2 linked regions of the Rhinolophus ferrumequinum genome follow. The protein of the gene in region 2 purifies or fractionates together with the protein of the main gene of each other region. This does not show direct contact. Links are inferred from orthologs where the notes say so. Each region holds a gene or a part of one and is shown on either strand. Other genes may lie near its edges.

What was found. The genes of interacting proteins can lie anywhere in the genome.
Region 1: the proteins of histone H2AX (region 2) and NAP1L1 purify together in Homo sapiens (affinity purification with mass spectrometry; 3 studies listed by BioGRID and IntAct, counting the BioPlex papers as one, with this or other methods). This does not show direct contact. The link is inferred for Rhinolophus ferrumequinum from reciprocal best matches to the Homo sapiens genes H2AX and NAP1L1.

What each region holds. Positions count from the first base shown.
Region 1 is NC_046293.1:70,493,870-70,505,201, reverse strand, and holds the start of NAP1L1 (nucleosome assembly protein 1-like 1), read left to right. Parts: upstream 1-7,074; 5' UTR 7,075-7,228; intron 7,229-11,332. UniProt on the Homo sapiens protein: Histone chaperone that plays a role in the nuclear import of H2A-H2B and nucleosome assembly.
Region 2 is NC_046294.1:88,353,315-88,362,534, forward strand, and holds histone H2AX, read right to left. Parts: upstream 2,801-9,220; 5' UTR 2,710-2,800; coding exon 2,278-2,709; 3' UTR 1,558-2,277; downstream 1-1,557. Other genes in the region: HMBS (porphobilinogen deaminase), read left to right, coding at 1-90, 331-384, 528-614, 709-882; DPAGT1 (UDP-N-acetylglucosamine--dolichyl-phosphate N-acetylglucosaminephosphotransferase), read right to left, coding at 3,975-4,040, 4,119-4,274, 4,439-4,526, 4,855-5,043, 5,403-5,487, 6,786-6,932, 7,176-7,389, 7,565-7,685 and 2 more. UniProt on the Homo sapiens protein: Variant histone H2A which replaces conventional H2A in a subset of nucleosomes. Nucleosomes wrap and compact DNA into chromatin, limiting DNA accessibility to the cellular machineries which require DNA as a template.

The DNA of each region.
Region 1 (11,332 bases), on a different chromosome or scaffold from region 2:
ATAGAACAGTTCTGTTACCCTAAAAAATCTCCTCCCGCTTCAGCGCCTTTGTAGTCAACTCTTCACTCCTCCAGAACCCCTGGCAACCACTGATATGTTTTCCATTACTATATTTTTGCCTTTTTCATACGACATATAAATAGAATTATATAATATATATCTTTTTGAAACTGGCTTTTTTCACTTAGCAAAAATGTATTTGAGATTAATCTGTGTTGAGTGAATTGGTAGTTTGTTCCTTTTTATTTATGAGCAGTATTCCATTTTTCCACTGTTTATCTATTCACCTGTGGAAAGACATCTTCGTTGCTTCTGGTTTTTGGCAATTAGAAATATTCACCTCCAGGTGTGTGTGTGTGTGTGTGTGTGTGTGTGTGTGTGTGTGTATAAGTTTTCAGTTCATTTGGGTAAATACCCAGGAGTGAGATACCTGGGTCGTATGGTAAGGTACTATATTTAACTTTATAAGATATTGCCAAACTATCTTCCAAATGACTGTACCATTTTGCTTTCATACCAGCAATGAATGAGAGTTCCTGTCATTCTACATCTTTATCAGCATTTCGTACCGTCAGGATTTTTGTTTGTTTGTTTTAATTTGAGCAATTCAAATGAGTGTATAATGATATCTAATTGTGGTGATATGTTGCAAGCACTGCATTTTGTAGATCATCCCTGTTGTGTATTACAATCAATGTTTCTGCTGCATAGTACTTTTTGGTATACATCCACTGCATTTCACTATCAATTCTCCCAATAACAGACCCTCCAATTGTCTCCAAACACTATCATGTGATTTATTGTCTCCAGTCATTACGATCTCAAGGATTTTAATATTTCTTTCCTTTCTTTTTATCAGCAAGTTGTTTCATAGATGAGGAAAAATAATAATATCCAAATAATATCCAAACCATATCCAAATACTATCTTGCATAGAGTAGATTGTGAAATTTTCTCTATGGAAACATTTCTCTATGAAACATAGACTCTATGATAAATATAGAATTGATACAGTTGTCTTCAACAAAGGATTATTTAATAAAGCATGATGACGTCTGATTTATTTTTAAGCATTATGACTTCTCTTTCTCTTTCTCCCTCTCTTGCTTTCTTCCTTTTATTTCGTTCTCTCAAACAATTATTTATTGAAGGCTTTGCCTTGCCGGTCACTGTCCAAGCCGGGGGTATACAAAAACAAGGACACTGCCCTGTAGCAGCTAACAATCTAGGATAGTGTGTGTTGAAGGAGAAGGAAACATGGGAACAAACATACATACAAAAAAGAATAGACAAGCGTGTGCAGCCAGATATGCTTTTGTGAGTTAGGAAAGGTTCCCCAGAGAAGATAAAAATTTGAACTAGAAGTTGAAGGACAAGTAGAAGGGAAGCACAGAAAGCATAAAAACGCTTGGCATGAGGAGAGTCTGGTGAGTAGTTCAAAGTCATAAAGTATGGGGTTCATGAGTATGGATAGTGGGGAGTATGCTAGAAAAGTAGGATGCCTTCCGATTGGACTGGGCTTTGGAGGCCTTATTTTGTTATGTAGACATAAAGTGCCATTGAACGTTTTATGACAAAGTGGATTTGATTAGACTTGTATTTTAGAACCATAGCTTTGGCAATGTAGACCAGAGAGGAATAAGATATTAGGGAAATTAATGGCAAGGCTATTGCACACAGTTCAGGTAAGAAATATTGAAAACGCACACTAAGGAATCGCCTATTTTCTGCCTAAGTGGTCTATTTGTGAGAAACAAAGGGAAAAAGTAAATCTGGGAAGGTAGGCCTATATTTGGCATGTAAATTAGGAAAACAAACCCCAATCATCATAAAAGGGCAACTTCAGGGATCCTTGTGGTGTTGATAGAACTGTTCTGTATCTCGCTTGTGGTGACACACAAACTACGCATGCGATAACATTGTGCAGAAGAACTAAATATACAGGCCCACTTAAGTGGATCCAAGTGAAACTGGGGAAGTCTCAATAAGATTATGGATTGTTTGTACCATTGTCGTAAACTGGGTAAAGTTTACACGATCTCTGTGTGTTGTTCTGTGCAATTGCGTATGGCTTTACAATCATTTCAATAAAAGTTTCAATTGAAATGATAGCAAAATAAAAATATTTTCTATTAATTCCTCCTCCCTTTTCCTTTCAGATGTAGAGGGAAGAATTTAAGGCAACTTGTCCACAATTCTCCACTGGAATTTAGATTGATTTTATATTGCATTTATATTAACAATTGGAAAAAAATTAAAACCAACCAGATTCAAAACTAAGAAAACAGTTATTTAAATGTGACTTGTACAGTTTTAGATTATTATTGGTGCCATTAGACATTTTACATACTGATTAATTGAGAAGGGAAAAAATAAACATTTATTGTGTACTTCAAGTGCAGGTCAATGATCTGAGGGCTCACATATATTTCTCTGTTTCATGCTAATGAAGAGGCAGGTGTTATTAGAAGAACTATTACTTCTCTGAGAAAACACCAAATGACAGATGACACCGGTGCACCAGGAGGGCCCAGGAGCCTGGGGTGTGGTGGGGGAGGGGCCCTGGACGATTTGGCAGCGGGGTCCCTGGCCAAGGTCGTGCGGGATGTGGGTGAGCTTGCAAAGGCAAGGCTGAGGACCAGGAGTGGATCGTCATCACCAAGCTGGGCCGCCTGGTGAAGGACCTGGAGATCAAGTCTCTGTCCAGCTCTCCCTGCCCATCAAGGAATCTGAAGTCATTGATTTTTTTTTCCTGGGGACGTCCCTCAAGAACGAGGTTTTGAAGATAATGCCGGTGCAAAAGCAGACCTGTGCACACCAGAGGCCCCAGTTCAAGGCATTTGTCCGCCATCCGGGACTACAAAGGACATGTGGGTTTGGGTGTTAAGTGCTCCAAGGAGGTAGCCCCTGTCATCCGTGGGGCCATCATCCTGGCCAAGCTCTCCGTTGTTTCTGTGCAGCGAGTCTACCGGGGAACAAGATGGGCAAGCCCCACACTGTCCTTTGTAAGGTGACCTGCAGCTGTGGCTCTGTGCTGTGCACCTCATCCCTGCCCCCAGAGGCACTGGCATCTCTCAGCTCCTGTGCCCAAGAAGCTGTTGATGATGGCTCATATTGTCAACTGTTCTACCTCAGCCAGGGGCTGCACTACCATGCTGGGCAACTTCTCCAAGGCCACCTTTGATAAGTCAAAGACCTGCAGCTCTTTCACCCCTGACCTCTGGACAGAGACTGTGTTCATCAAGTCTCCCTTCACGGACCATCTTGTAAAGACCCACACCAGAGATTCTGTGTAGAGAACCCAGGCTCCAGCTGTGGCCGCCACATAATTTATACAAGAAAAATAAAGTAAATTGATCCTGTTAAAAAGGAAAAAAAAAAAAAGAATTATTAAAGCACTTTACAGATGGGGAAAACCTAAGGGTCAGAGTGTACAGATACATGTGGGAGGTCAGAGATTTGGTTGAATCTACGCCTGTCTGACTTTCAAGCCTATGTATTTCCTACTACTTAGGGGCTGAAATACAGACACAGGCACACTTAAAATATCATCTCTGTCACTGTCTTATCTGGTTGATCTCTACAGTGTCTGTATTCAGTACTTAGAAATATGGGATATTGTACTTTTGTGATAATCAGTGTGGATCATTTCAGCTCAGGAAAACATGTTTCAAAATTTGTGACAAGATAGCTTTTGATAAAATATTTCACAAAAATGTGTTAGATACTATTAGAAGACTTACGGGAAGTTTCTCCAACCATTAATTAAAACAAAAACAAAAGTTTACGATGTAAGAGGTTTATGATGTTTAACTTTTGTTGCGTGTTTACTAAATGTCAGGTACCATGCTAAGCAATTTACACATTGCTTAAAATTTCACAACAAAATAGGGACAAAACTTGGGCTGTTTGACTCCCAAAGAGCCACACTTCTAAACCACCAGGCTTTTACAATGCTATAAAAATCTACCAACTGAAAATAATGGGAGATGAAGCAAAAAGGAAGTTTAACCGGAAGTTTAGCATGGTCCAAGGTCAGTGACCAGGGCCACAATTTATAGTAATTAGATGAGTTAGCTATATTGTGTGACTTGAGGGGTCAACGTGCAAATCTCAATGGTTTCTTTAGGTCAGTCATCTTCTACCCCTTTGTCTCATTTTATTTTCTTCATAGCACTTTCACTTACTAATATCTACAATTATTTCATTTCTCGTTTGTCACTTGCCCCACCTCACTGGAACGTAAGTTCAATAAAATCAAGAACCTTGTCTATCTTGTTCAATACTGTATTTCCAGTGTCTCAAGTTGTTTCCAACATATAACTATTTGTTGAATGAATGTATAAATGATTGGCCTTCCCTGGACTTAAGTAGCCAAGGTTTAGACTTACAAACTATGATTGAAAAGATCACATTAAAAGATATGCATTATTAGCACTTTATTAGTATTTCACTTTTAGGTTAGCTAGGACACCTTAAAAGAAAGGGAGGAGGAAGCTGGAGGAAAGAGCTGGAGAAGGGTGCTGTAGAAAAGGGGGAAATAATGTATATAAACTGGTAATGATAAGCCCTTAAATATGGGAGTGGGGGTTGAAACGTCAGAAATTTGGAGACTTTGGTCAGTGCCTGAAATTTGTGGGGGTCCCTGGAGTGGGACAGAAACCATCATGAAAGCTAACTTCTCAATTCAGTCTCATTAGTTCTACCACTGAAAAGGTTTATGGAAAGGAGAAAGCTATTTAGTTCATTTTTAATATGTTGATTATCTTGCATTATGTATAGCTTTGAATAAAATGCAGAGCGCTCTTGAGGCCTCCACTGAAATTAGTGCCAAGTGTATGTACATATTGGACACTGGCCTACCTAGTTTATGTTTTGTGGATTCTTCATGAGGAATCATCACTGATGTTATTATAATCCTTGTTAGCCTTACATCATTGTCAAGTATGACGTACATGAAGAAATAAGGTTGAGAAATACAAAAGAATCACACATGAAGAACAAAAATGAATGGATAAACTGAGCACCTGTCGCATGGAGTGGGAAAGGCAATGCATTTCAATGAGATATGGGAGTGAGGATTACAAAAGATGACTCCAGGCAGTTTGAAGTTTCAAGGGACGAAACATTTAGAGAAGAGGTTCTCAAATTTTTTGGTCTCAGGACCCCTTTACAGTTTTAAAAAACTGAGGATTACAAAGAACTTTTATGTGCATTACTGATATTTGTCATATTAGAATTAAAATTAAGAAGTTTTAAGAGTAGATTTTAAGAGTTGTTATTCATTATCTTATTTAAAAACAATAAGCCAATTAAATGTTAACATAAAGAATATTTTATACGAGAAACGTTGACCCCAAAACAGAAGATACCCACTAAGAAGGGCTCAAATTTAAAACCAGAGTTTCGCAACCATTTTCTAAATATTTCTCTCATATGCTTCAAGAAAAACCCTGTACTAAGCTGCCTCGCTCCCACATTAAGCCGTTTGCCTCCCGCCTGCCTCATAGCATATGATAAATATCAACCCTTTTAAAGGAGTTTCTGGAATCCCATTTCAACCAATAGGATTGAGACTTTCCCCATCCAATCAAAGCTGTACAACTCTATAAGCGAATGTATGTCACTGACCAATCAGAGCTGCTCCCTTTTAACCAAAGAGGACAGTGCTTTTTGGACCAATCAAACTGTGAGGATCTGAAGTCCTCATTTGCATGAAGATGGTCCAATCGGGGACCAGGAGTGGGTACCTCTCTCTGTATAAGTCAGCTCCCCAGTGGCTCAGAGAGAGCACTTTTCCTTTCCATTAAAGATTGTGCTTCGCTGGCTGGACCTGAAATACTGAAGAGGCTTGTGGACCTGGGAGAAGCAGAGGAGAACAGAGCTATCTATTAGAGAGGGGACTCTGCTCAGGCAGCCTCACAGTCCTGCTATTTCGTACATAATTAAACAGCTCTATAGCTATGCTGTATTAGGATTGAGCTATATGTAGTTTACCACAAATTGGGGGTTCCTGTTGTCATTGAATTGGCGCCAAGACCATGGTTTGACCAAAGTAACTATTTTTTAAAACACAAAAAGTTAGAATGGCATTGTTTTATATTTTTGCAAATCTCTCTCTGGTTTAACAGCAGATGGCTGGATCCTAATAGTTGCTTCTGTTTTCCATGTTTCCATATCACATGTCATGTAGCCTCTGGAAAACTGCACTGTGAGAGAATGAGCGTGCAAAAGGCAAATGACGCTTTAGTAAATATTAGGAAATACTTTTGACTTTCACCTGTGAAAGAGTCCGAGAATCCTCGGACCACACTTTGAGAACCACTATTTTAATATTAGTCATTATTAAAGTGGATATTGGTCAATCCTGCATCAGTTGAAAACTAGCCAAGCAATTTCACAGTCCTGAGGATTTACATAGGGTTTCCTTTTTCAGGAATATGAAACGACTGTCCTCATTATAAAGGATCCGGAGAATACACAAACATGCCATAAAACATCCGTCAAAAGAACTAAAGCGGAAATGAGGGATCGCACGTCAAGTAAAAGGATGTTGGAGTAAGAATGAGGAGCACCCCAGGAAGCCATGGAGGTCCACTGAGTGAGGAGAAGCAAAACCGGTAGAAGACTCCGCCAAAGGGAAAAAGTGGGCAGGGAGAGAAAATGGTTACGAGGAAGGGGAGTTGCAGGAATTAGGTTGGGAAGAGGACGGAAACTAAAGAGCACTCGCCCTAAGGATGCGGCAAGCCCACACGGGGCGGCTGGCCCCAACCTTCATCCCTCCCTGCACCACACTTAGGCGGGCGAGGTGGACCGGTCCAGGCGCCCGGGTCAGGGCCCTTCCCAGAGCGGGAGGGGTTGAGATTTCCTTTCAAGGTGAGGTGGGGGAAGAGTTGGCGGGTACGTAGTAGGGGGCGGCGGCAGGAACCCAAGGAACCTAAGCAAGGCGCAGAGGGTTGGAGGTCGCCAGGGAAGAAGGACAGTTCTGTTGCTATGCAACCCGCCCTAGGCCCGCCTCCCGCTCACGTTGCTAGGAGACGGCGAGGCCGGGGGAGGGCGGCTGAGCGGGCCCTACGTGCTGACGCTAATTGTATATGAGCGCGAGCAGCGGGCTCTCGGGTCTTTTTTAGCGCCATCTGCTCGCGGCGCCGCCTCCTGCTCCTCCCGCCGCTTCCCTGAGTCACTGTCTGCGCAGCTCCGGCCGCCTGGTTCCCCGTGCTGGCCACCGGTAACGGATGGGGGCCTGAAAGGGAAGGAGGAACGTAATGTCGGCCGGCTGGCCGGCGCGGAGGGGAGGGACGGGGGGATGGGGGACGGAACCGAGAGCAGCGGCTGCTGGCCGCTCCGGGCCTCTCGGCTCGTCCTAAGAGGTCAGAGCCGGAGCCGTCCGCGGAGTTTCGACCCCGTAGCCTGCGAGGCCGCTGGGATCGGCCGGCGCATTTTCCGGGAACGGGCTAAGAAGATGCGGGGGGTTGGTCGGCCCGGGAGGGTCGGGGGCCGTGCCAGTCTGCGCCGAGGTGCCCTGAGCTCCACCGGCCTCTACGCGCGGACGGGGGCGAGGCCGCGGCGTCGCCCAAGGCGCCCCGAAGAGGCGACGGCCGCGCCGCTAGGGGCCGGGAGGCTCCCGGGGTGCGGGCCGGGCGCGAGTGCCTAGTTTCCTGCCGCCTCGCTGTCCCAGCTTTCTCAAAACTAGTACCCGGAGAGAGGCCGCTGGGGAATGGAAAGAAAGGTGGAGGCTGCGAATTCCGATGGGAGGGAGGGGCTGTGAAGGGACGAGGCCCCGAGGCAGGGAGGGGGCGGGGAGGCTGCGAGGCTCTGGGGCTCTCCGCCCATTGGAGGCGGCGACCGTGCTGGGCGGGGAAACCCCGGCGGCTTCCTTCGACACGTGGCCGCCGCCTAGGACAGGTTGGCGACCCCTGTGTCTGTTGTCCTTACTGAAAGTTGTAGAGACGGTGGGATGTGAAAAGGAATAGTGAGCCCATAGGTTCAGCCCCTGGGTTTCAGACTCATCCCTGCTTCTCTTTGGTCTTCACCTTTTTATTGGTTCTGGAGGAAAGTACGAATGTTAGGTGATGGATAATGAAGCAGGGCCATCAGTGCTAGATGTTTAAAAGAATTAATGCTAATGTTAGTTGTTCTTAACAAAAGATTTTTTGTGTAGCTCAAGCCCAGTTAGAATTTGGATGGGTGTCTCTACCAGGCTTTTTTATTCGGGGAGAATTGATCCTAATCAGTGTAATCCTCTAAATGGTTCTAAGATGGCAATGCTAGAGGATTTAGTCTGCAATGTCTTTAATTTTTCAAGGACTAATATTTTCTTATAAATTTGTTCCTTTATTGTAGTTCCCAGAATGAGATACTCGCTCTTTTAAGATGAGTGGGGTATGGTGGAGAAACTAGGGAATGGAATGAATAGTTAATGTAAACTTATTGATCCAAGTTTGTAACCTGCTGCCTTATCAGTGACCCCACTTTTTCCTTAAGAAAGAAGGCAGTGAAGGGGGGTGGGAAAGGGAGTCCTATCTGGGAATGCTAGGGTTTCAGTACAAAAAATGAACTGAGTGCAGGATGTCCTCAAGGAACCCGTATTTTAGACCATCACTGTCTGATTAGTTACTTTTGTAATGAAAACACCGCTTGCCTGGTTTGTGGAGAGCTGAGCTTTAAAACGAAATTTGCCATTTTTGAATTTAGCATCAAAATAGCGTTTCAAATTAGTATTTAGGTCTTATTTTCTTGTCAACTTGAATTAATACTACTTCTACATTTATTTTACTTAGGAAATAATATACATTCTCTTTTTTTTTTTAAGGATTTTTATTGGGGAAGGGGAACAGACTATTGGGGACAGTGTACTTCAGGCCTTTTTTTTTTTTCCCAAGTCAAGTTGTCCTTTCAATCTTACTTGTGTAGGGTGCTGTTCAGCTTCAAGGTGTTGCCCTTTCATTCTTAGTTGTGGAGGGTGCAGCTCAGCTCCAGGTCCAGTTGCCATTTATTTCTAGTGGCAGGTGGCACAGTCCACCATCCCTTGCGGGAGTCGAACTGGCAACCTTGTGGTTGAGAAGACGCGCTCCAACGGAGCCATCCGGGAGCTCAGCGGCAGCTCAGCTCAAGGTGCCGTGTTCAATCTTAGTTGCAGCGGGCGCTGCCCACCATCCCTTGTGGGACTCGAGGAATTGAACTGGCAACCTTGTGGTTGAGAGCCCACTGGCCCATGTGGGAATCGAACCGGCAGCTGTCGGAGTTAGGAGCATGGAGCTCTAACCGCCTGAGCCACCGGGCCTGCCCCACATTATCTTTGAATAAGGGGAAAACTTTATACTGTAAATCCTCAATGTCATGGATAGGTTCTTTGACTTTAAGCGAAACGATGTATAAGGAAACCAGTGTTAGGAAAGGCTAATGGTTATCAACAAGGGTTAAGTTGTCAGAGTATCTAATCAACTTTGACATTGAATGAAACCATGATAATTGAAAACCTGTTGTATGTAGATTAACTTATTTAAAATTGATAGGAGGTAAAAGAGGTTTACAGTGATCTGGGAGTACTAAGTCTCAAATGCTTGTTCAAAGTTGTCCGAGTTCAAATGCGCCAAATCTAAAATGTGCGATTCACTTTTTAAGAAAGATAGAGGGTAGGTGAAATTAAACATTGGTAGGTCTGTTTGGACATGTAATATAAAAAGCTTGACTTCATTGTCTTTTCAGGTCAATGTTACGTTGATTTTGTAAATAGTTTTTAAAAATTCACTATACCTGTTTGAAAATCGATAAATTTTATGTGTTGCAAAGTATCTATTTTTGATGTTGGGTCTATTAACAGAGAACGTTATTAAGCTAATACTAAATGTGGTGTTTGACTGTCTTTGTCCTCTAGAGACTGAAAAAACAAAATGAAAAAATAACCATTTGCACCAGAACTAATTTAATCCAAAATGCTGTTGCTTGTTTCATTATTTACTTGACTTGCCCATAGTATCCACTTGACTGATTTGATTCTAAACATCCCAAAATTTGTTAAATATACAGTCTTTTGTAGGAAAGGGGGCTAAAAGAGGCAGAATCTGTTCAGCTTCAAGGTACTGAAGATGTTAAACAAAATTGAGTAAATTTGAAGATGTAATTGGCTTTTTTAAGTGATGGACAACTTCCCATCCAGCAACCAGAAAGGCCCTTTGAGGGTTTGTAGCCAATGAAAGGTTTTTATAGTAAGAAGAGTAGGGCAGGATTGCTATTAACAAAAGAAAAGAAAGGATTGTTTTCTGCAGGGGTGTTTTTATCATGCAGTTGCCTCTTTCTATGGGGTGGGGGCAGAGGGTCCATGTGACAAATTACCTCATTGGTGTTGACTAGAAAATTCCTGATAGATTATGTTTCTGGGAGAGTTAAAACTGCAGTTAGATCAGATATTAAATCTAGGTTGGTATCATGGGCTTTTAGCATGAGTGATGCCATTTTGGACTTGTGGTATTCTGTTTAACAATGTCAAAATGCTATTTTGCTTATTTTGTTCTTTGTTTGCTTGGTTGTGACTTTGGAATATTAATGAAAGGTAGAATTAGAGGGAATGAATCCTGATCAATTTAGAACACTAATCATCTATTGAGATCCTTCAAGTCTAATCAAATCTGTAATTACTTGTGTTCTTAGTTGATTCTTTGAGTAAATATTTTAGTACCTATTTGGCATATATAACATTCTTTACATGAAGGAACCTGTTAACAATGGTGATGTTAAGTCCCATTCATACTGATTTCATTTGAATATGTTCTTTCCTTGTGCAGAGTAGGAGTTAGAAGGTGAGTTGCTGTTGTTATTCATCCTTTTAAATTGTTTAGTACATTGACAGTAGACCACTAGGTCACATTATTGGGATTGCCACTGAAGGTAATAGTCTGTATACTTGTGGTTATCAACTCTGCCTTTTACTGCTACATAGTTTGATACATTTTTATTTGTTCAGAACCTTTGTATGTTTTGATTTTTATTGGATTAATTTCTAAGATAAAGAAGATACAGAAGAGAACAATGGGTGGATAATGTAATGGCACTTACTGGGTGGTTATTCAGGCAATATTTAAAATTATTCTACGTATATTATTAACTGATCCAGTGCTCCTGGAGGTAGATACTATGAACATTCTAATGAGGAAACTGAGGTCCAGAGTAAAGAATTGACTCAAGGTTACATAACTGAGCAATGATGATTTATGAGGATTTTGTATTGGTTTTAAAGGGAGTTCCCTTGACTTAAATTGTTATGCTGTACATCAGTTTGGATTTCAAAAGCACTCTTGCTTGGGTTCTCCTGTGCTCCAGGGAAAAGCTACAA
Region 2 (9,220 bases):
GACAAGGACATCTTGGATCTGGTGGGTGTGTTGCATGATCCTGAGACTCTGCTTTGCTGCATTGCTGAACGGGCCTTCCTGAGGCACCTGGTAGGGCCTGTATTTCACCTGTGGAAGGGTGGGGAGTTGGGAATAGTGGGGAGATTTCTAAAATTCATGTTCTGAAATTAGTGGCAATTCATTCTTGAATATTGTGTATAGAGGACCCAAGTCTGGGTCCTTAGCCTCCTTTTCAGTCATGTCCTCATAGGCCTATGGATCCCTGAGGGCTCTCGTCACAGGGTAGTGTTAAGGGTCTTTGGAGCTCACCGGGAGAACTTCTCATTGCAGGAAGGAGGCTGCAGTGTGCCAGTAGCAGTGCATACAGCTATGAAGGATGGGCAAGTAAGCAGGGAACATGGGTGGGAGGGCAGGGAAGAAAGGACTATTGCATTTCTCCCTGTGCATCCTTGAGTTGCTAGCAAGAGCCCAGGTTTCTAAGCAGTTCCCTTTCAGAATATGCTAAGGCAAACCGTTTTCGTTCCCAGCTGTACCTGACTGGAGGAGTCTGGAGTCTGGATGGCTCAGATAGTATGCAAGAGACCATGCAGGCCACCATCAGAGTCCCTGTCCAGGTGCCAAGGCTGGAAAGTGAGGGAGGGTTAAGAAACAAGTCTGCCTTGAGACCTCTCCTTTTGTGCTCACCAAATCTTATGTTATCTCACCCAGCATGAAGATGGCCCCGAAGATGATCCACAGCTGGTGGGCATCACTGCCCAGAACATTCCACGAGTAGCTCAGCTAGCTGCTGAGAACCTGGGCATCAGCCTGGCCAACTTGTTGCTGAACAAAGGAGCCAAGAACATCCTGGACGTTGCCCGGCAGCTTAATGATGCCCACTAACTGGTTTGTGAGGCACAGGTGCCTGAGTTACTGCTCTCCAGTGCCTACAACCCAGCCCTCAGTGCCCCATTCTCACTAACTGGGGAATGATTACCCCAGGGGATTGAACTGCAGGGTCAGAGACTTGGAGGGACTGCCTTGCCTCATTAGGTAGGGGCTTCATCTCTTTAGAAAGATTCCAAGCCTTTGAATGTAACCAACTCTATTAATAAACCAGTTCTGAAGGTGGTTTTTTGTTTTTGTTGGGGTTGCAGGAAAGATAAGGACAAACACAACAGTTTACTCCTTATTTTCAAGGCTGGGACCTCTGTCCATAGTTCTGGAACACTCCTTTTTTCTGCCTCAATAGTTCTCATTTCAAACAGAATAAATGGTCTTCCAGAGAACACCAAAAGTGAACCTATAGCTTGCATCTCTCCAGTTAACCAGAGCCTTGTTACCAGGTAGCACACTCCCAACCCTACCCCCCTCAAGAGTCTACAGTCATCAGACCTTTGGCAAACACTTTGGGGCAAAATGAAAGTGACTCATTTTTTAAAACCAATCCTTTAATAAACAAAATTAGCCCATCTTAAAACTCCCCAATACCTAAGGTACTAGTGTTGGGTGGGTTGGTTCAATTCCAGTTCAGTTCAGGAGCCTCGGGCCCAGACCGGGGTTACTGTATTGTGCTGTTGGACTGGCGGGAGCAAAGCGGAGGATTAGCGAGGCCCGGCTGCCCCTCAGCGTCTGGGTTACACACAAGCCCTGCAGTCCACACAGCCCGTTCGGAAGCCCGGCAGGAGGCCTCGGCCCTCCCCCAGCCTCTCCCCGCAAGGCGCTCTTCTCTGGGGAAAGTGTGCACATTACGTCTGTCGTGGCCGCAACGCACAGGCCTAGTGAAGATGGAGGAAGCGGATTGGAAAAGCCCGGGATCTGGCAGGAAAGGGGGCGCCCTAACGAATTTAAGGATCAATGTTTCCCCCACCAGAGCCTGCAAGTCAACAGCCATGTCTGAGGTGGCGGCCCAAGCACCGAGCTGGAGCAGACGAGCGAGTAGTGCTGAGAGGCTCCGCCGGCGACTCACCTTCCGGGCGGCTCACCTCAGCCCTACGTCATAGGAGTAGGCCCGGCCTCCCAGAAAGTGCCGCGGCCTCACCGCTGGCCGTCAGCGACTCCGAGGGCAGGGTGGCTGAGTCACAGCGCCGGACACTCCCCGGGCCGAGCCGTCGCTCAACAGCCGCTCCCAGTCAGAGAACCCGAGCGGGCACCTGCGAGCCCGCGCGGGGTGGGGGGCAGCCAGCGGCAGCCGACCGCCGTGGCTCAGCTCTTTCCTTGAGGGTTGTGGTGGCCCTTAAAAGGGCCTTTGTGGTGGCACAGGGAGGGCCGGGAGGCCGGCGACGGCGCGGGCGCCCCTCAGTACTCCTGAGAGGCCTGAGTGGCCTTTTTGCCTCCCGCTGGCGCCTTCGGCCCCACGGAGGCGCTGGTTTTCTTGGGCAGCAGCACGGCCTGGATGTTAGGCAGGACGCCTCCCTGGGCAATCGTCACGCCACCCAGCAGCTTGTTGAGCTCCTCATCGTTGCGGATGGCCAGCTGCAGGTGGCGGGGGATGATGCGCGTCTTCTTGTTGTCGCGGGCCGCGTTGCCCGCCAGCTCTAGGATCTCTGCGGTGAGGTACTCGAGCACAGCCGCCAAGTACACCGGCGCGCCAGCTCCCACTCGCTCAGCATAGTGGCCCTTCCGCAGCAGCCGGTGTACGCGGCCCACGGGGAACTGGAGGCCAGCGCGCGACGAACGCGACTTGGCCTTGGCGCGGGCCTTGCCGCCGGTCTTGCCGCGGCCCGACATGTCGCTAGAGGTAGAGAAGTGATGAGGAAGAGCGCTTCGTAAACCACGGCACAGCCACCCACTGCAGTCTAACTGCTGGCGCGCACGGCCGGAAACCGCCCTTATAAGCCACCAGGGCACACCTCCGCGCCCTCCTGATTGGCTTCTTTCTCTAAAGCAGCCTCTGGTTGGTTGCAGTTAACCCTCCGGTGACGCGCCTCGGCTAAGGGAGCGCGCCAGCCGATTGGTCGAATTTGAAAACCGTTTGCCCGGGGAACGACGAGGAGGAGTGGTGGCCTTCAGCCAGCCAACTACTCCCTCACGTAGCCAATCCATGTGAAGCGCGCGAGATTTAAATCCTACACCCGCCGACCAAATCTTTAAAAGACAGTAGGTGGAAAAAGAAGCAAGCTGAAGCGCCTGTGGGAAATAGTGTGGGACTTGGGATTTTTAAAGGAAAGGGGTCAACGCTACAGCTACCTCTATCTTCCTTTCCGTGTGTGGTCACACCCTACTTTCTCCTCCTTTCTGGCCAAGGGAGAATGAAAAAGGGAAGAAATGAGACCCCCTGAAAGTTCAATCCCCTATCAGAGAACAGGTAACTCCAATCTTATGACCCTCCATGTCACTTGAAGTATCAGGATTTCAATATTTATTCAATATGTTCTGTCTGGTTGCAATATGTTCTTTCTGCTCACTTGCTAAAAGGGGCCTGGTGTACTGAAAGAAAAAGGATGGGGCAGAGAGACAGGCATCCTCTTGGAGGAGGTGCCTCCACCAACCCTCCCAATGTACTCTAAAATGCCCATATAGGAAACAGAGCTACAGGAACAAGAAAAAGACAACACTTTATTGTCACCACTGGGAGCACCTGCGCCCCCCAACCCTGTCTGCTTTTACTAATTAGAATACTTATAGTGAAATGTCATCTTTGAGCCTGTGTCCCTATCACCAGCCAAGGTTATATTATCCCCAGGCCCAACATAGTCCTTGACAGTCAGAGTTGTAGAAAACTGCATAACAAATGCAGCATCCCACCTTAGGGGGCTACAAAGACTGGATGGATAGGGAGAGTGGCAAGTTGAAGAAACCATTGGCAAAGTCCAATCAATAGTCACTAGAGGGCAAGAAAGGCCCAATTTGTCAATAATCACGGGGGAAACAAAATTCTAAGGAGAATGAAGGGTGGGAGAGGCCCGAGCCAAGAGGCAGTCTTGGTCTAGAATGAGGTCATCCTGAGTCAGGAACCCTGGAGACTGTGAAGTAAAAGGCAATGATCTGGAGACTCAGACATCATAGAAGAGTCGGACAAGCTGGTACCGAATAGAGAATGTGACAGCACTTCCCAGGATCTGCAAGGAAAAATGGACTAGAGTAAGAACCATGGAGAAAAGGAGACAAGGAGGAGTAAACCCTATGCCAAACCGCACCTGTAGCAGCAGCAGGAGCAGTGTGAGGTTTCTCTCGTGCATGGGCCCAAAAACCTTAAGTAGCAAGTTGATGAGGGTCATGTTGTTACACTCGGTGAAGGGACCATCCTCATTCTCACTCTGGCGCACTGTCACTAGCTGGAGGCTTCCTGCTACCTGGAAGGGCCGGAAGTGATGAGTACATCAGCTAATACCTATGCTTCAGGAATGGGGATCTGCTTAATGCTTCCAAACTCCCCTTGGATCTGATGCAGGCCTAGGTTCCCCGTTCCCTGAATTTAGGATGGTGGCCTAAAGCCTTACCTCCTTATTCCCGTTACCTTTAGAATAAAGGTGCCCAAGAAAGAGAGGCTCTTGGTCTTGAACTTGGAATAGCTCATCTCCAGTTTGCCTGTGTTGGTATTGAGTCTGCAGGGGCAAGAGAGTTTTATGTGACTGGGCCACTACTTAATGAACTCTCTTCAGTGTGGTTATTTAATAGGAAGAAGAATGAAATATGGAGTCAAACAACTCGAGATCTATTTCTGGCTCTGCTGCTTACTATTGTGTGATCAGAATTGCTGTGAACATTAAATGAGATTATGTAAGTGAATGTGCTCTGTAATTTATAAAGGGCTAACCACAGGGAAACAGCCCTTTTTGGGGTCCTCCCTTTGCACAGCAAATGTATAAGGCTGGCTTTATGAATCTCAAGTGAAAAAGCTATAATGTCCCTTTCAAACCCCAAAGCAGCTACCTGGGCACACGGTGGCGAGGGCAGGGGATGATATGCAGGAGTTGAGGCAGTGAGTAGAGGAAGTTGAACACCTGGGGCATGAAGAAGAGTAGCATGGTCTTGCTGAAGTGTCCCAAGATGCCCACCACGGCAAAGGTCATGCCAGCAAAGTAACAGAAGGTATCTCCCACAAACACCCGTGATGGGTACCTGTGTGGGAGAGAGGATCTGAGCCAGTGGCAAGAGGCATTACCAAATCTTTCACATAACACACCCTGGGCACTCGGCTAGCCCTGACCCTAGTTCTGGCTCAGAGGAGACTCCAATCAGCTCTCCCAGCAATTCTCTGGAACCCAGGGTCCTGAATTCATCTATTCTTAGGGAACCACAGCACTTGTCACCAACCACTGCTGAGTAGACAGAAATTTAAGAATACTACCAACTGAAGACCCAGAAAACACAACCTGGGTATGCACAGATTTAGCCTCTCCATCAGGAGATGGGTCATGATCAGGACCATACTTGCCACATGTTCAAATAGTTGTCCCCCTATCCACAGGCCTACTTACCAGTTATGGTAGAGCAATCCCAAGGTGGTGAAAAAAAAGGGTATCATGAAGTAGAGGGAAAAGACATGATCATCCCGACAATCACCTTTGGAAGCGGGGGAAAAAGAAAGAAGGAAAAACTGATAGCCACTTCCTCTGTATACCCTGATCCTATTTTTGTCTGCCTCTAAGTTATGTCCCAATCTGTATTGTCCACCTCTCCCAAGTCACATTCAAGAACTCACAACCCCTTTTATGTCACCCAGGTAATTCTCAACGTTGTACCTCTTTCATGAACCCTTTCTAAACTAGTTATTGTCTTAAACTGGTTTAGATTGTTCAGACCTAAGTTTGAACACGAGCTTTACTGCCAGTGTGACCTTGATCAAGACACATTACTTCTCTAAGCTTCAATTTCATCTGTAAAATTCTGTAAAATACAGTTGATAACACCTGCTACACAGAACTGTTACAAAGTTTAAATGAGATGTCTGAAAAGAACTTAGCTTTTTTTTTTTTTTAATTTTTATTGGGCAATATTGGGGAACAGTGTGTTTTTCCAGGACCCATCAGCTCCAAGTCAAATTGTTGTTTTCAATCTAGTTGTGGAAGGCACAGCTCACTGGCCCATGTGGGACTCGAACCAGCGACCTTGGTATTATGAGCACTGCGCTCTTAACCAACAGAGCCAACCGGCCTCCGTGAAAAAGCACTTAGCTTTAATAAACACTTATTGATGTCCAAAACCACTAGAAACACACCTGTAATCAAAGCTGGGTTTGATTTTAACAAGGGAAACTAGAAACCACATACCATGTAGAACCATGGGATGCCTCATAATGATATGTTACGAGGACTTTTATAGGATTTGTTTTAAGTAATTCTGAGGAGGCTATAAGGAGGCAGAGTTTTGCCCCTGGACTGGATGCTGTCAACAGGAGTAATTCTATATTAAGCATCTTAATTTTTATTTAAGTTGGAAGAACTGAGTTGTTAGAAGGAAGGAGCAATCATTCATGTTAGCCAGAAGAGGGGGATCTTGGTCATTTTTGTGGGGTGCTCTGTGTTCTTGTGGTTTTGTTTATGCTCAGACATAGTTATGGAGAGGTCTGGTTTTCATCTTACTGTATCATGGTCACAGAGGTTGGGAGTTCTGTGAAATTGTTTATGTTTGATAGGAGAAGATCATGGCCTACATATTAATGCCAATCTAGCTATAAATGACAGGGCTGCTGTTTTTCTCACATTTAATAAATCTTATTTGTTATTTGCAAAGTTAATACCTTTACACATCTTCTATAGTTATTAACATATTGCTTTTTTTCTGAATTTCCCAAAGCCAGATATCAAGCAATTCGCTTAACACTCAGACTTCTCTCTCTCCCTACCCTCAATCCCACCTACCTTCCAGCTCTACCAGGTTGAAGATGATGATGGAAGCAGAAATGACTAGTGACTGGCCAGCCTCTAGGCCATTAATTCCTGCTAGGATATTGATGGCATTGGTACAGAACACTGCCAGCAGCCCCATGTAGACATAGTACAGGATCCCTGAGGAGAGAAGACAGTAAGGAAAGAAGTAAGGCCACCCACAGAATGAGGATTTAAGGATATTCTTTTGAGAAAAGTATTGAGGACAGAGGGCCAACAGAAAAGATCTGAGAAGACACAGGGACAAAACGGGGACATGGAGGAGAATACAGAGAGCCAGGAAGGATGCTTTGCTGGATATCTCAAGGTGTACTGGTACCCTGAAGTAGGGAACATAGAGGCAGTAGTGACAGGGCTACTCACCCAAATCCAAATGCAGGCCAAGAATCGGACGGAAGGGCTTGGGTACCACAATGGTCGTGTTGCCGAAGTTGGTGAAATAGACCATAAGGAGTGGTAGTGAGGCAGCTGTGGGCAGCAGCAGTTTATGGCGCCAGCGTAGATTCAGTACATCATCCGCGAAGCCCAGGAAAATCATGCAGCAGATGGCAAGGAGCGCACCTATCAGGGCCACAAACTGGGGGAGGCTCCGGCAAGTCATGGCTCAAGCCTAAGCCCACTTCACCATTCCTTTCCAGAATTTCTGTCTTTTCATTCCTCCCTCAGCCCCTCCACCCAAACCCAAATAACCCTCTCTTTCAGGCAACTACCAATCCCCAGACATAGGCAACCGCCCCCAGTAACCCACTTACTTCATGGTGGGGGAAGGCTTTACATTGCTCCTCCACAAAGCAGTTCAGGAAAGGGAAAGGGATGAAGCAGAAGAGGATGATTAGGAAAACAGCACCGCTGATAACTCCCTGGGACTCTGGGCTGTGGCCCAGCAGCAAGTGGGGCGAAGGGGAAAGAGGAAAGGGGGACGTGGTCACGCACTAGTGCAAGCATTATAGTAATCTAATCTTAGGTTGCTGAAGTCCCTGATACACCCGAGAGTTCCCCCTCTCCCGCCCACCCCTTCTCAAAGGCTAACCAGTTCTGCTCTTCACCTCCCAAGGGACTGTCTGCAGGATTGGCGCTGCATCTCCGCGTGCAGTCAAGCACCCCAGTCCTAGCCCCAGCCCTTGTCCCCTGCCCGGGATCCGTGTGCCACCGCTCACATCTGCTGCCGGCCGGATTTGTTGAGGTCCTGACCACAGAGGTGCGCGGCGATGAAGTGGCCACGGAATGCAGGGATGAGGATGAGTGTGGCCACAAATCCCAGCAGAGAACCGATCAAATTCACCAGCAGCGGCATCGACAACTCCGGGAAGGCCCACATGGTGACCGGCCAGGAGGCCCCCTCCGCCTCCTCAGCTAACGCCTAAGGAGGGCAGAAACCCTGAGCCCGCCGCAGTAAAGAGTGGCCGCTCCACACACCAGCCTGAGCAAAACCCAACAACTCTTGACTAAAGCTGCCCTCCCGACTCCGGCAAGCCTCTACAGAGAAATCTCGGCCCCGCCCCACTGCATTTACCTACCCGCGTCTCCGCCTGGATCTTGTACGCAGAGCAACTATCGTTGTAGAAAGCGGTGACGGCCATTTTTAATATGGGCAGAAGCGTGGGGACAGAAGTGTTTTTTTAAACTACATCTTTCATTCGAGAATTAAGTCATCACGAGGGTATAGGAAAAGCAATTAAAGACAAAAGCGGATACTTTCCTATCATCATATTCAAGATGTATAGAGCCCAAAGCAGAAAAACTTCTTGCCCGGTTCCAAGATGAACGCCTCCTTCTACCATGCGTCCGACGCCGCTTACTCTCGTTTCCACGTCAGTTTTAGCTTCGTCGGCCTCCGCCGGTCACGTTTAAAGGGCCAGTACCCTGAGTTTACTGTGGGCGGCCTCTAGAGCGGAGGAGTCCGCCACTGGAAGCAAGTTGGGGAGGGCATGAGGGACGAGGAAGTGGAACAGCGCCGGCTCCCTAAAGAAAATCTGTTCCCAACGTAATGGGAAGCCAAGGTAAATACAACTCAGTTCCCGGAAACGCAGCCACAATTTGGAAGATTATGTAAATTCTAAAGCGTAGACACTTAAAAAGCCTCTCCTACTCCGTATTTTTCTTGTCCTTCATCCTGATGCTTTTCCTTAATCATCCCACCTACCTTCTGACCTCGCAGTAGCAGTTAGTTGTCGGGCAACCCCGCAGGGCACCTCATTAATGAAGGGGTTGGGAGTGCCTTCAGGTCTTGGAATTAACCCGGTACTTGACTTTCCTTGGTCCCGGATCACTGCTTTGTGCCAGGCTCCCAAATCGAGGAGGTGAGGATGAGGCGTTGGAAAAAGCTAAGGAAGCAGGAGAACCAGACCCACACGTGGACTCCTGTGAGACTGAGGAACTCCCAATCCCGTCTCTTCCTCCAGGTTACT